2 linked regions of the Notamacropus eugenii genome follow. The protein of the gene in region 1 purifies or fractionates together with the protein of each later gene. This does not show direct contact. Links are inferred from orthologs where the notes say so. Each region holds a gene or a part of one and is shown on either strand. Other genes may lie near its edges.

Evidence for each region. The genes of interacting proteins can lie anywhere in the genome.
Region 2: the proteins of FKBP5 (region 1) and IKBKG purify together in Homo sapiens (affinity purification with mass spectrometry; 3 studies listed by BioGRID and IntAct, with this or other methods). This does not show direct contact. The link is inferred for Notamacropus eugenii from reciprocal best matches to the Homo sapiens genes FKBP5 and IKBKG.

The regions. Positions count from the first base shown.
Region 1 is NC_092873.1:92,735,094-92,742,682, forward strand, and holds the start of FKBP5 (peptidyl-prolyl cis-trans isomerase FKBP5), read right to left. Parts: upstream 3,006-7,589; 5' UTR 2,748-3,005; exon of another isoform or gene 2,659-2,747; intron 2,571-2,658; exon of another isoform or gene 2,504-2,570; intron 2,079-2,503; exon of another isoform or gene 2,008-2,078; 5' UTR 1,915-2,007; exon of another isoform or gene 1,892-1,914; intron 1-1,891. UniProt on the Homo sapiens protein: Immunophilin protein with PPIase and co-chaperone activities. Component of unligated steroid receptors heterocomplexes through interaction with heat-shock protein 90 (HSP90).
Region 2 is NC_092879.1:10,233,365-10,240,544, reverse strand, and holds the start of IKBKG (NF-kappa-B essential modulator), read right to left. Parts: upstream 3,014-7,180; 5' UTR 2,752-3,013; intron 1-2,751. Other genes in the region: G6PD (glucose-6-phosphate 1-dehydrogenase), read left to right, coding at 3,548-3,818, 5,407-5,534. UniProt on the Homo sapiens protein: Regulatory subunit of the IKK core complex which phosphorylates inhibitors of NF-kappa-B thus leading to the dissociation of the inhibitor/NF-kappa-B complex and ultimately the degradation of the inhibitor.

The DNA.
Region 1 (7,589 bases):
CTAAGATAGAGGAAAAAATTCAAATAAAGATATTCTCAGACTTTTTTTAATGACTGATTTTTCTAGGTAAAAGAACAGAATCAGAACAGAGAAGCTTAGTGTTTAAATAAGAGAAACTTGGAAAAGAATATTTATTTGTAATAATTGTCCACAAGGATCCTTCAAATACTCTATTAAAACTATCTCATTACTTTATTAAATGGCCACTTTAAGTTCAGGGGGAAAAATTAAATCCTCATTCAAATGTATGATATCTTATAATTTAAACTAAAAAAGATTAAAATTAAAAACTACTTTCAAAAGCATGCTTTCTAGAACTGAAACTTACAGCTGAGCTATAAAGAACATATACTATATCAAACAAGGCATTTTTAAAGAAATATGAATACATCCAGTTCTTCTTGATAAGTAATTTAAACAAAATCCACCCTACTACATATCAAAGATTTTTTAACCTCTTACTATTTCCATGTATAAATTTAATTTTTCATACATACATGCATACATATGATATACTATACTGTTGAACATGAAAAAATAACAGACTGCAGATTGGAAACAGTAACTTGTTTCTCATTGATATACTATCACTTCCTAGATACTTTGTGCTCCACTCCCTTCTGTGCCTTACCACTCTTGAACAACTACACTGGTTTCTTTGTAATAATCCAAATCAAAAGGTTTTTTAAAAAGTCTAAATAATATATTATTTCAAGAACTACTTTTTGAAAGCCAACCAAAAGAATAATTCTTCTTGTAGGTCTTTCCTCAAAGAAGCAAAGAAGGCTATTCAGATTGGGGGGGGGGGGGTACTTCAACGCTAATAATCTGAACAATATGAAAACTCAAAACTGAGAAAGAAATCCAAAGTTCAGCTGAAAAACATGAAACAATTCACCTAGAAGCTAAATACCTTCTATTATGCTACAATCACAAAGTATACACAAAAACTTGTCACAAACACAAAGTAATTTCCCACAGTATTTCCTCCTTAAGTAAATCTTCAAGTAATAACATGATTTAGTTACTACCATTCTCTTAAGAAAGGCTATTTTACAGTCTTAAGGAGACCTCCCAACTAAATGTTTTCTCATCTCTATGCTAAAATGTTCCCTGATCAGATCTACTTGCACAGGGCAGAACCAGAATCTTGACCTACACTTAAGAATACCTTGACTTTTAGTCCTGTGGATGGTTTTCCAAAAATTGTATCATACTACACTTCACCCAGGGTACTAAAAGACTAAATTGTCATTAAATTAAATTACAATTAGGTTATTTGTACAGTTATATTTCAAATTCTCTAACATCAGAACATCTTTAAGTGGTATGTTTGAGGATTAAAACTATCTTTAAACTACTACTTTAATACAGTAGAATCAGAGTAGTCATGACATTTCCTCTATTACAAAGTGAAAACTTCTCTCACATACCATTAAAAATCATGAGTGCAGTATTTTTCAACATCATTTTAGCAGGTAAACAGCACTGTTTTTTCCACCTAACTATAACATGGTGGTGGTAGATTTTACTCCAAGACAGGTGAAATAATAATTAAGAAGGCTACACTGTATACCTCACATTCTATGGAAATTCTAAACCAAAAGAGATCCTTGGGAAGGCTCGGGAGACAAAAGACAGACAAGGAGCAGATGCAGGACTAACAAGTAATAGCCCAAAGCTCTGGCTAACTTCAAGAAAATTAGTTTTGAACACTGACACAGCCCAAAAAATCAACGAAGGTGAGGACATCCAAAGTCGTAGTCGTAAACTAGTACCAACATACTTCTCCTTTCCAGGCTACAGTTCCCAACTTTGTCTCTCGAGGGCAATTAAACAGGAAAAGTGGGGCTTTTCTTTTCCTGCTACGGGAAAATAGAAAAACTCTTACACTCGAACTTCACACACGGTTACCTCTTGGAGTTCCGATCTGATAAGATCCTTCCCCCAGCCTCTGACTGAACAGACAACAGCACTGGACATTGGTCATCCAGATGAGGCAAATTCCTGCAACGGGTGGAAGAGAAGAAAGACACGCTTGGAATCGTGATCCGTCAGGAACCGAAGGAGAGAAAAAACTAAAGGGCAGAAAAAATAAAAGGCCAGAGCAACCTGTCATTTGCTTCTCTTGGGGGAAAAAAATAGGGGTGCAGGGGGAGGGGGAAGAAGCAGTGAGAAGAAAAGGATAAAAGAATCCCCTCCTGGTGTGTTAAATTCTCTCCCCCCCCCCCCCAAAATAACCACCTTTGGGAAGATAAGCCGGGGAGCAAATTTTACGGACAAGGAGGTGCAGGGATGGGGGTCTGCGGAGGACACGCTCCGAAAGCTTCCCAAGCTGCTGGGCAGTCAGGGGTCTCCCGGGAGGGATGGGTCCCTGGCTCCTCCAGCCCTCCAGGGTCACCGAGGCACGAGGCGCAGGGAGGACACGCGCGCGTACACATACATACATATGTATATACATATATACACATATATATACACACTTCTCCATACACACACTCACACGAGGTAGGAAGAGCTCACAGGCGGCGCGCCCAGCTCACCTCACCTCACCGTCCCTACCCCACACTACACAACTCGCTTCTCTCCCCAGGGGTTACCAGGGGAAAGGCGGGATGGGGTGGGAGGGGGAAGGGAATAAGGGGGGGGTGCCCGGACCTGATCCCGATCCCAAGCCTCCGCCGGGCTGCCGCCTCCTCCTCCTCCCTCAGGCCCCATCCCCACGGTCTCGGCCCCCGCCGCGCTACCTGCCGCTGCGCTCGTTCTTTCTGGCTAGCCCGCTCGCCCCCGTACCCAACCGCTAGCCCGCGCGCCGGTGCGCCGCCGCCGTTGACTGGCAGAGCCCAAGAGCCGGCCGGAGTCCCCCAGCCCTCCCACTCCTCCACCCACTCTCCCCGCTCCACACTCACACACACACACATACACACACTCACACACACTGGGCGGCACGGAGCGCTTCCCCGCCCCCGCCGGCCGCAGGACCGGCCTCCGATAGGTCCCCTAAACTGTCGGTCTCCTTCCGAAAGGCGCGCGGGCCACCGCCCCGCCTCTTCCGATTGGCCGCCCGCGCGCGGCCCATGCAAATGAGGTTCCGCCTCCACTCCCTCTCGACTAGTACTCCTTCACTCCCCCTCCCACCCCGAAGTCTCCCCTTGCCCAAGCCCCAGCGGCCCACGTGTCTTCTCTGTACCGGACTCCATCGCCACCCCCACGAGCCTAGGGAGGATTCCAGAGCCCTCGGACGCCCCCGTACCCACCCGGTAATCTTTCTGGGGGGACTCTGCTCCAAACCGCTTACTCTGTCCTACTCCTTTAGGACAGTCCTGCCAACCCCCCCTCGATCTGACCTACGAGAGCTGCCCTGCAGATGGAAGGGGTGGCTTAGGCTTGAAAGGAGTGGCTCCGTCCCTAGCAGACTGCCTGGACATACTAAGCTCGGGAGCCCACCCTGGAAAGTCAAAGATGCCCAGCTGAGGACGGAGAAGTCCTCAGCCTCCTGGACCCAGGCCAGTGGGGGCTTAGTACATATTGGGTTAAGGGAAGTACCTTCTTCTCGAATGACTGTCAGGAACTTTCCTTCCTCATCAGCTCCCTGATATCCATTCAATACAGTTCACATGTATAAAAATGTTTTAGCGGTGGCTACCTGCTTTCCTCGTAACAATCCTGTGAGGGGAGTAGGAGAATGGATTAGTCCTAGCTACATTTGGGGAAATTGAAGCTCAGCGATATTAAGTTGTTTACCCAAACAAAGTCAAACAGCAAATGGCAGCGAAGTTAGTGAATAGCACTCAAGGCCGTTATCTTCGGACCCTGGAAAAGATCAGTGCTTTTTCCTACCACAGCCTGTCAATCAAACAACAAGTATTTATTAAGCAGCTGTCACATGCAAGAGAGAGTACAAGCCTGGAAGGGACTCAAGTAAGAAACCAGGAAGATCTTTGCTCTCCAGGAACTTCCCACTTTGCCTCTCAGTAACTGCCACAAAAACTTTCACATTAGAATTAGGAAAGAATTAGGTTTCTCCGGAGTAGGAAGATAGGAACTGAGGGAGCACAAGATTAAAGTCCATAAAATCACATGAAGTTGTTCAGATGCCCACATCTAAAGATTAAAAGCTTGAAAGAGATCGGGTTAGTCACTAAAAGGAAGTCCTGCTTTACAAAATGGATTGTAAATTTGGGGAGCTGATCTTTCTAAGACAATGATACAGGCTGAAAATGCGAAAAAGTTTTCAGTTTAATATACAAACCATTGAGAATTGGCTTTGTAAGCAGCAGCACTAAGTGTTCAAAGCTGGAATAAGATAGTCTAGGGAACAGAAACTAAATCTCTTGATTCTCCTACTTCTATACAGATTCTACTACATCTCAGCCAAATAAAGGAGTTTATAATTAAGCAGGGGAGATAAAACAACATTTATATCAATAAATATAATAGTGAATTGTGATCAATTAATAAAAGAGGCATGTACTGAGGGCTTTATGAGGAAAGTAAAAGAATTATATTAAATTGTGAGCTCCTTTAGGGCAGGGACTGTCTTTTGGTATCTTCAGTGCTCAAAGCCCAGAATGAAGTATGGGCTTAATAAATGTTTATTGATTATTGATTACTTATTTTGTTCAGTTCTGTTCAACTCTTTGTGACCCCACTTGAGGTTTTCTTGGCACAGATACTGGGGTGGTTTGCCATTTCCTTCTCCAGCTCCTTTTACAGATGAGCAAAGAGGCAAACAGAGTTAAGGGACTTGCCCAGGATCACAAAGCTAGTAAATGTCTGAGGCCAAATTTAAACTCAGAAAAATGACTCTTTCTCACTCCAGGCCAGGCAGTTTATTCACTTTTCCACCAAAGGACATTTTGGTAAGGATTTATGGAGGAAAATCATATTTGAGCTGAAGATAAGGTTTAAAAAGGATTCTGCCCAAGATGTTGGGCACAAACAAAGGAACAGATATGGACACCCCCCTAGTTCACCACCTAGTTCACCTTATTCACCTCTCACCTGGTCTATTGCTTTCCTTGCAAATTACTCCCAGAGCCCCAGACTCTCTTGTTTCCAATCCATCCTCCACCTAGCTGTCAAACATATTTCTAAAACACAAATGTGACCTTTTCACTCTCTGATCAAGAAACTCCAGTGGTTCCCTGTTCCATTTAGGATAAAATGCAAGCACCTTTGACATTTATTTAAAAGTCTTCACAACCTGGTTCCAGCTTAATTTTCCAAGTTTATTGCCCCTTACTGCCCTTCACATACTCCATGGTCCAGTAAAAATGACTATCAGTCTATGTGTTTTTCCTTGGTTGACCCCCATACCTAGAATGGATTTTCTCCTTAACCTTCCTTTCTGAGATTTCCAAGCTTCCTTCACAACTCCCCTCAGGTTCCTTCTCCTCCAAGAGGCCTGTTGCCCTAGTTACTGGTGTTCTCCCCATTCCCAAATTACTTTCTATATACTTTGTACATATTTTGCTATATCAATATATACATATTGATCACAGAATCAGTTTAGTGATACAGAGAACCTTACAGGTCATGTAGTCCAAGCTGTTCATTTTCAGATGAGAAAACTGAGAAACAATTTTCTTGAGGGTAGAGACTGTCTTTGTATCCATAGCATCTGGCACAGAGCCAAGTATATAATGTCAGGCACTTGATAAATGCTTGTTGAGTGAATTAGTTAATTGATGGGACTGATGTAGTAGCCACTTTGGCTCTTGAGTAGGGGCCATGAAAAGGAGTATTGAAAAGGCTGGAAAGATAGATTGTGGGTGGTCTTACAAGCCAAATACTGGGGGTTAGATTTAATTCCATAGACAATGGGGAACTCCTGAAGATTTCTGAGTAGAGTGCTTTTGTCACGACAGTCCTGGGAAGTAGGGAGGATAGTGTGAGCATTATTGCCCTCATTTTATAGATGAGGAAACTGAGAGTCACTGAGGTTTGATGACCAACCCAGAGTCGCACAGGTCATAAGAATATGCTAATGAAGGTCAAGGAGGAATCTTGAGCTTGGATCCTAAACATGTGTACACATAAATATAATACAAAATAAAGTCTGCATGACCACTTCTTGGGGGTGTTATAAAAACAATATCTGTGTTGGGCAGTGGTTTACACTCAATTTTTATAAGAACCCTTCCATTTTTAAAGATCATATTAGACGATCTCAGAGTTGCCGCTGGAAGAAAGATGAGGAAGGATACAGGATTATCAATCATATGATCCTGAGTCTAGAGCTGGAAGGGACCTTAGAAGCCACCCAATTCAGCCAGTATATTTTACAGATCAGAACCTGGAGACTCAGAAGGTAAGTGACTTATCCAAGGTCACTCAAGTATAAGTGGCAGAAGTGAGATTTGAAACTGGATCCTCTGAGTCCAAATCTGTTATACCTAATGTGGTATAAATTTGGAATCAGAAGAATTGAGTTCAAATATTGCCTCTACTACTTGCTACCTGTGTAATCTTGGGATTATCACTTTAAACTCTCTGGACCCTCACTTCCTTAACTTTAAAATGGGGGTATTGGCTGTATATCCTCTAAGGCCCCTTCCAGCTCTAAATCTTATGAATAATTTATGAATGGTGTACAGTATGAACTACAGTGGAGAAAACCTAGAGGCAAAGAAAACCAGGAGTCTGAAAAAGGAAGAAAGAAGGCATGGTCTAGGGTGGTGTCAATGAAAAAGAGGGCACAGATTGGGAAGGATGCAACATGTAGAAAGACCAGATAGGACTTGGTAACTGCATGGATGAAAAGTAGAGAGAGAGGAAGACAAGAATGACACATCTTTCAAGTCTTAGTGACTAGTGAAAAAAAAAGAAAGGTGGTACTGCTGACAGGAGCAGAGAAGTTAAGAATTTCATTTAATTTATTTTATTTAATTAATTTCATTTCATTTCATTTCATGCATTCACTTATTAATATATTCCAGGCACTGTGCTAGGCACAGGAAATATAAAGGCAAACGAGAACAATTCTTGACCTTAAGTTGCTTTATACTCTAATGGGGAGGAGGAATACAAAACAGTATAATATAAGGAGAAAGTTTGGAAGGGGAGGGAACGGTCAATGATGAGTTCATTTTTGGACTCATTAAGGACAAAATGAGATCGTCAGAAATATTTTATCAAACCATAAGCTGACAGTCAATCTCGCCTGGCGCTGGTTCTCTGTCCTCTGAAAGTATTCAAACTGAGGTTGAATGATGACCTCTTGAGGAGGGGGTTGGAGTCCTTGACCTCTAAAGTCTTTTCCAACTCTAAGAATCAATAGAATGGAAGGACCCCAAGAGTTCAAAGGAGCAGCTGGGAAAGCTTAGGAAATATTTATTTGCACATTCAACCATGTTGAAGCTTGGTCGATGGAATTTAGAGGGCAACCAGCAATGAGTAAAAGTAAAAAGTTATGCTAGTAGGCAGAAATTGAGACTGAATGGCTTTGGGTGGTGGGTGGTAGGACTGGCCACAAGGCAGCCAATAACAATTGACCTTCCAGGCACAAAGTGAAGTTCTGCTAAGGCAGAATTTTGTGAAAAAGAGTGGACCAAGTGCAATGGCAGCATATATAGACCATAACCCTG
Region 2 (7,180 bases), on another chromosome or scaffold:
CCCCCCTCTGAGCCGCTGCTGCTGCCCTACCCTGCCTCTGCAAAGAAGAGGAGAAGGCAGAGCTGCCAGATTCTTTGCTCCTGTTCTCTCGGAAAATAATGGTGACAAAATGAGTTACTAGGAAGTCAAAGGGAGCGTACCTAGTTACCCCCAATGAAGTCATCACCTGGTCCACATCAATCATAAAAACAGGCAGATGTGGACAAACAAAAGAGCAGAGAAAAGAGGAGAAGCACTGTATAGTTGAAATAAGGCAAATGCCTCAATTTTCCAAAAAGGTAAGAGAACAAAACATGCAAAAACACATACCAGTGAACTTGACTCCCATCCTCAGGGAAATTCTCCCACATCGCTAAAGAGAGGCTTAGTGAACATCTACATGTTGCATGGGGAAGGGGGGCTACCAAAAGTCAGCATCAAGGCTTTTTTTTGACAGTTATGAGACTGATTGGGAGGATACTACATAGTTTACCTAGGTTTTAATAAAGAGTTTTAAGACGTATCTCCTGCTATTCTTGTGGAAAAGACAGAGCTACATGAATTAAATGACAATACAAGAAGAAAGATTTAGAACTGGTTCAACAGCTAGACTCAGTTCAGTGAATCTGATGCCAACTTGGCAGGCTATCAGCAGTAGAGTGGGCCAGAACCATGTTTGGTCTATGCTGTTAAACAGAATTTTAGGCCTCTAGGTGGCGCAGGGCATAAAGACCTGGATCTGGAGCAAAGAAAGACCTGAGTTGGAATTCTATGAGGATTCCTTAGCTGGGTGATCCCAGGCATGTCACTTTTCCAACCTCTCAGTTTTCTCAATAGTAAAATAGAAATAACAGCACCTGCCTCCAAGGATCGTAGTGTGGATCAAATCAGATAATATGTATTAAAGTGCTTTGCAAACTTTAAAAATGTTAGCTGCGATTATTATTACCAATGACTTAGATACAAGACAGCATGTGCATGAAAAGTACAAATCACTACAAGGAGTATTGCATTTGGCGTACCTATTTAAGGACAGCATTGTTAAGAAGGAAAGCAACCAGGATGGCAAAAGGCCTAGAGTTTCCCCATCATATCATATCATCACAGGCTGAAAGAACTAGGAATGCTTAGCCCAAGGAAAAAAGCCTGAGGGGCAAGGAAGATAGCTGAGCTCAGGAAGAGAAATTCTATGGGGGCTATTTGGTCCCAGAGTGCAGAAGCAAGCTCAGTGTCAGGAAAAATTTCCTAATGGCTGGAGCTACCCCAGGAAGTTAACAAGTATTTCTTTATGAAATGCCTATGTGCTTGGTCCTGTGTTAAGTGTCCCAAATGGTGGGTTTCCCCTTACTGGAGATCTTCAAGCTGAGGTTGGATGACCAGCTATATTAGACAGGATTTCTACTGGACAGGGGCAGAACTAGGTGGCTCCTGAGGCTCCTTCCAACTGTGAAATTCTGTGAGCAAACTTAGGCAGATTGAGTCCAAAGCATCCCTAAATTATACTACAAATTATATCATTTTCAATCAATTAATCAATAAACATTTATTAATCACCTACTATGGGCCAAGCTATACAGAGTATGTGGAAGTAGCTAGGTGGCTCAGTGCATAGAGCGCTAGGTCTGGAGCCAAGAAGCTGTTGTTGTTCAGTAGTTTTTCAGTCATGTCCCACTCTCCATGATCCTACTTGGGGTTTTCTTGGCAAAGATACTGGAGTGGTTGCTATTTCCTTTTCCAGCTCATTTTACAGAAGAGGAAACAGAGGCAAGTCACTTTTGTCTTAATCCACTGGAGAAGGAAATGGCAAACCATTCCGGTATCCTGGCCAAAAAGAACAGAACATAAATGAATACCAATGAGCCAGGAACCATGCTAACCTGAGGATACAAAGAGGCAAAAGACAGTCTTCTGCCTTCAAGGACCTTATGATCTAGTGGGCAAGGTCCTTTCCAGCTCTAACCCTGCATTGGTCTGAAAAGATGAAGTGGAAAGTTAGCAGCTAACTAAAATTGACATAGTGCTTACTATGTGTCAGTCACCTTTACAATTATTATCCCGTTTGATCTTCACAACAACTCCAGGAGATAAGTGCTATTATTCTCATTTGACAGATGAAGAAACTACGGCAAACGGAGGTTAAGTGACTTGCCTGAGTCACACACTAGCCAGTGTCTAAGGCGATACTTGAACTCGGGTTTTCCAGACCCTCCAAGTCCAATGGCATGGCAGTGCCACTTCGATGACTCCAGAGAAGGGTGCCCCCTTAGTGCCACAGCCTTATCCCGTTATTATCACCATTAATGAGCTCACAATTACATAGTTTTCCACAAGTTGTGGCATCTGATCCCCAAAACAAACTTAGGAGGTAGCGTCCATTATTGTCATACCCATTTTACAGATGAAACATCAGAGGTTCAGGAACTTGCCCGGACTCACACCGTTAAGTGGGAATCCCATCAGAAGTCTAGAAAGATGGTGGCAAAAAAAAACCTGCTCTTTTCCTTCACATTCTCCCCTCTCCCAGAATTACGAAGAATGACTGGGCGGGGGCGGCGGCGACGGGGGGAAGGGGAGAGAAATTGGGCCAATGGGGAGTCAGTTACCCTGAGGCCAACCCCAAAACCTCGGACGGCAGCGGTGGCCCAGATGAGGCAGGAGAGGCTGAACATGGCAGAGCAGAGTGAAGGGACAGGCGGCGGGAAGGGGCTAAGGGGCGGGGCCGCCATGGGCGGGGGCGGGGCCCAAGGGGCGGGGCCTGGGCGTCCGACTCACCCCGGAGGCCGGAGACTCGGGCCTTCAGGCTTCAGCTTCGGCCCCACCGGGGCCCGGGGAGCCGCCAGGCCCGGCCGGGCCGAGCCTGAGTCCACACGCCACGGACGCAGCCGCGAAAACTACACCGAAGGTAGCGACGGAGGCCCCCCCCAAGAATCCGCCAGCTCGGGTCCCAGCCGACGGCTCCGAAGCCCGGACTCCTCAGCGACTCCTCCCCACCCAACACCCACTTCCGGATTGTGCCGGAGGGCTGCGGCAACCCGGAAGTGCAAAAGTGAAAGCTTCGGAGTCCCTCAGACTGTCTCCGCCCCTTCCTCTGGCTGTCTCCGACCTCCAGGGAGCGAGGACTGAACCAATAACGCCTTTGGCGGGGGTGGGGGGAAATTTACCCTGTGTTTCCCGTGCCAGGGCCCACTTAGGTCTAGAAAGAAATCCTAGGCACTAAGCTATCTTCTAGAGCATCTGCTTCCTCCTCCTAGTTTCGGAACGATCTCTTCTGTCACCTTAAGTGCCCCTGACTATGCACTTTATCAGTTCCCCTCCCCACTCCAGGCCGGTATCAGAAAACTAGGAGGAGTGAGAGGAACGAGGGGCGGAGTTCTTGAGGGGGGGGGGGGGGGGGGGAAAATAAGCAAAGGGGCGGGGCTTCCGGCTAGAGATGGGAGACCTCGGCTTGGCGAGAAGAACAGGGAGCGTGATCTGAGAAGGGCGGGCCCATGGCCGGCTCGGGGGGCGTGGCCACGTCGCAGGCGGAAGCGGCGAGCCGGGCGAGGCCACGTGGGGGTGGGAGAGAGAGATGTCGCTGAGGAGGCGGGCTCTCCTGCGCCTGAAGCGCGAGGTGCGGAATCCCAGGTCTGGATCGGAGCCAAAGCCGGGGGAGCAGGGAGGGCCGGGGCGGAGTCAGGGGCCAACGGGGCTGGGCCAGGGGGAGGAGATGGGGAGTCGGGCGAGTGTAGCCGAACTGCACTCGGGCAGACGAGGCATTAACCCGAGCGCAGCAGCGGGCCCGGTCGTCTCCCTTCCTCTGCCGGATCAGCAAGTGACCCAGGATCCGGAGGCGAAGACTGGTGAGGAGGCCCCCGGCCTGCCCAACCCCAACCTCCTCCATCCTCAGCCCCGCCCTGCATCCTGGCCTCTGTCCTGAGCTCTCCATCCTAATAGCCTTTCTCTTAAGCCTCTGCAGTTCCCTCCTTCGACTTAGTCTCCAGGCTCTTTGATCCTCTTTACCCAAGCATCCTCCCTCATCTCCTTCCTCCGAACCCTGGTCAGAAGGCTGTTTCTGCATTGATTGATGACCTTCCTGTTCAGATAAGATACTGTACTCTTTCCCATCTCAGCCCTGGCCTGGCTTTCTTGCCCCTTGTAGATTGTCTCTGGGGGCCTAGATCTAAAGGAAAGTTTCCTCTATATCCCCTAAGGGGTTTTAGCTTAGGCATGTGATCAAACTGACTACTGGAAATACTCTGCTTCTCCTACCTACCTATCAGGGAGAACCTCTAACCCTTCGGAACCATCCGCTGAGGGAGATCAGATCCCACTGAGGTCCTAGGGAAGTTGAAACAAGCCCCAACAGGTAGCAACAATCGAACCTGTGGCAGGGGTCTGGCTGAACTGCAGTTAGCTGGATTTGGACCCTGGTGGTAGTGGCATAACCCCTTGCGGAGAAGGTTGTCTTTTTGCTCTAGGTTCTCCCTTGAGACTTCTTTTTAAAAACAAAACAACCACGCACCTGCAACAGTCTTCTTCCACAGTCCAGTGCCTTGCTGATGCAGATGCCAGATAATGTTGCATCCTGAGGATTTTCCAAAGTAGTGACTGTGAGGACTGGGACAGGCCAGTTTTAGAAATAGGAGAGACATCAGAAAAGGCCAAGAAGAAATAATATTTTGTGCTTGGTTATACTGGTCATATGGCAAAAAATATACAAGCTGGATGGAAATGTACAGATCAGTCAGTCTAGCTCCCTTAAAAGGGAAGCAACTTTGGACTCCAAGAGAAATAAACTTGTCCAGGGTCACAGACAGTGACTGAGTCAGAACTAGGCCCCTCCCCCACCCCGCCCCCTACTCCCTACCACCCCCACCCCCACCCCCACCCCTATCATCTTCAAAGCAAGAGGATAAAGGAGCTAATTAGCATTCTGCCTGAGACTGGGACCCATTATCTTCAAAGCAGAAGGAAGATCAGTGAATTAATAATGTTCCTGCTTAGGTCCTGATTTTCTAGTCGACATTAACCCCCACCTGTGATCCTGCCCCTCAAGCTATGAACACCTTGAACTAGAATCCCAGATGAGAGGCTCCAGCTTGAACTCATCCTCCAGACATCCACTTTGGAAAGAAGGGGGGGGGGGGGAACACCACTTTGATCCCCAGACTTAGCCATTGAGTATCCTGACCAAACGTAGGATATTTAAAATGGGCTTAACAGGTACAAAATGTGACTGCTGGAAGCCTCCTCAGATACCCTCAAGGCATCAGAAACCTAACGTTTTTTATCCCTTCTCCTAAACTCTGAACTGGTAATTGCTTCTTGGAGATACCACTTGAAATCTGGGCTGCCTGGGGAGTTCACTTGTCCCTCTTAGGGGGAGGGGCAATGACCTTCCAACTCTCTCTTTGCCAGAGCTCCCTCACAATCCTTTCATTCCTCTAGAAAACAACATGGCAGAGCAGGTGGCACTGAGCCGGACCCAAGTGTGTGGAATTCTCCGGGAAGAATTGTACCAGGGTGATGCCTTCCACCAGTCAGACACACACATATTCATCATCATGGGAGCCTCGGTGAGTCACTCTGGGCCTCAACTTTCCTCGTTTGTAGTATGAAGGAGCTGGGACTCACCCCACTTCTGGCTCCAGATTCTCTGTTCCTACCTGCGCACTCACCTCACAGCTTCTGCTCAGCATAAGTCCTCGGTCTCCCAGTATCTCCAAAGGCCCAGTTCCTTCTGTTCTGTTCTTTGGGCCCTCTGTTGAAGATTATTTTCATACTATCTTGTTTCTCCTGATTTCTTGTCCTGGCGTCAGGGCAGTGATTATCACCCTCATTTTATAGATGAGGAAAATAAAACCCAAATTACTAACGTGATTTTTTTACCCCCTGATGTCAAGAGCAAGTTAGTGTTAGGCAGGTTTCCAGCTTCCCAGGCTAGAGCTTTTTGTTTTTCCCCTCAAAATCAGGGTGTAGAGGACAACTTGTGGAGAGGCTGGTAATAGGGGAAGGAGGGAAGGCTACTCCCTAAGGCTGGTGAGACTTTCTTGAGGGCAAATGGTGTCGGAAAGGTCGTGGGTCATTCTTGCTTATCAACTGAGTGGTTATCTTGCTTATCTTTGTAATTTCTTCATCTAACCTGGCTCAGTCTTCTCCAGGCCTGGTTTGAATAGACTGATAAGGGGCTTTTTTGGGGCCCCTTAAGGGTTACTAAATACCCCACTATTTCCCTCTGACTGAGCCCTGTGACCCCAGGGGTGTTTGAAGTCCTTCAAAGGAATGTCATCATGGTTTGGGTTGGTTGTTGGTTTGTTTCTGGGGTGCTGAAAGGAATACTCTTCTAAATTAACTGATTGGAGACTTGGAAGGAAAGCCCCACCCCTGTACCAGGGGTTAGAAGCCCCTGTTCCCCAGTGTCCTCTTCACCAAGTTTCATTTAGAATTCAGGGTTTGGGCTTAAACTTGCACTTATCACCCCAGACCTGCTCTAGGATCATTTGTTCTTCAAGTTTGGTAATGCTCGTTGGCATTTCCAGAGTGCTACAAGGTTTGCCAAACACTTTTCTACCTTTCTCAGTGCTTCTATGGGCCTCCTAACCATGCTGGCATTTCTGATTGAGAGCTCTGATCCCCAAGGTAAAGGCCTGAGGTGGAATTCAAACTCAGCCCTTTCCAACCCTAATCCTTCCTCACCAATGCTGGGTCCCTCCAGCCGGGCCAGGGCATTGGGGATTTTGCACTCTGAAATGACAAAGTGGTGCTTCCTGAGGGCCATTAGTAGCTTATGGAGTGTGCAGAGAGTGGAATGAGTTGGCAGAAGAGGGCAAGAGTAAAGAGAAGCCTTTCCTTCTCTTTCCCTGGCTTTCACCATGCCCTTCTTGGTTTCAAGTACCTCTGTTCCTGTAAGTCACTGTTTCCCAACCTTTGTCAGTCCAAGGTCTTGCTATCTATTGACCCATTTCATATAAGTAAAATAATATTATTTCAATGGGAACCTCTGTGGTCCCAAAGGAATCCATTGAAAGTACTCCGTGTAGCCCCCAAAATCTCTCCAAGTCCATGCCCACAACTTTCCACTCCCAGGAGTGCTTCAGTCCTCCAAGCAGTTATTAAGAGTCTATAGGATGTCAGACATATAGGGGATATAAGGGCAAGAGAGAACCAGTCCCTGCTTCCAGGGAATTTAGGTCCGAGAAGACTCTGTGTGTGTGTGTGTGTG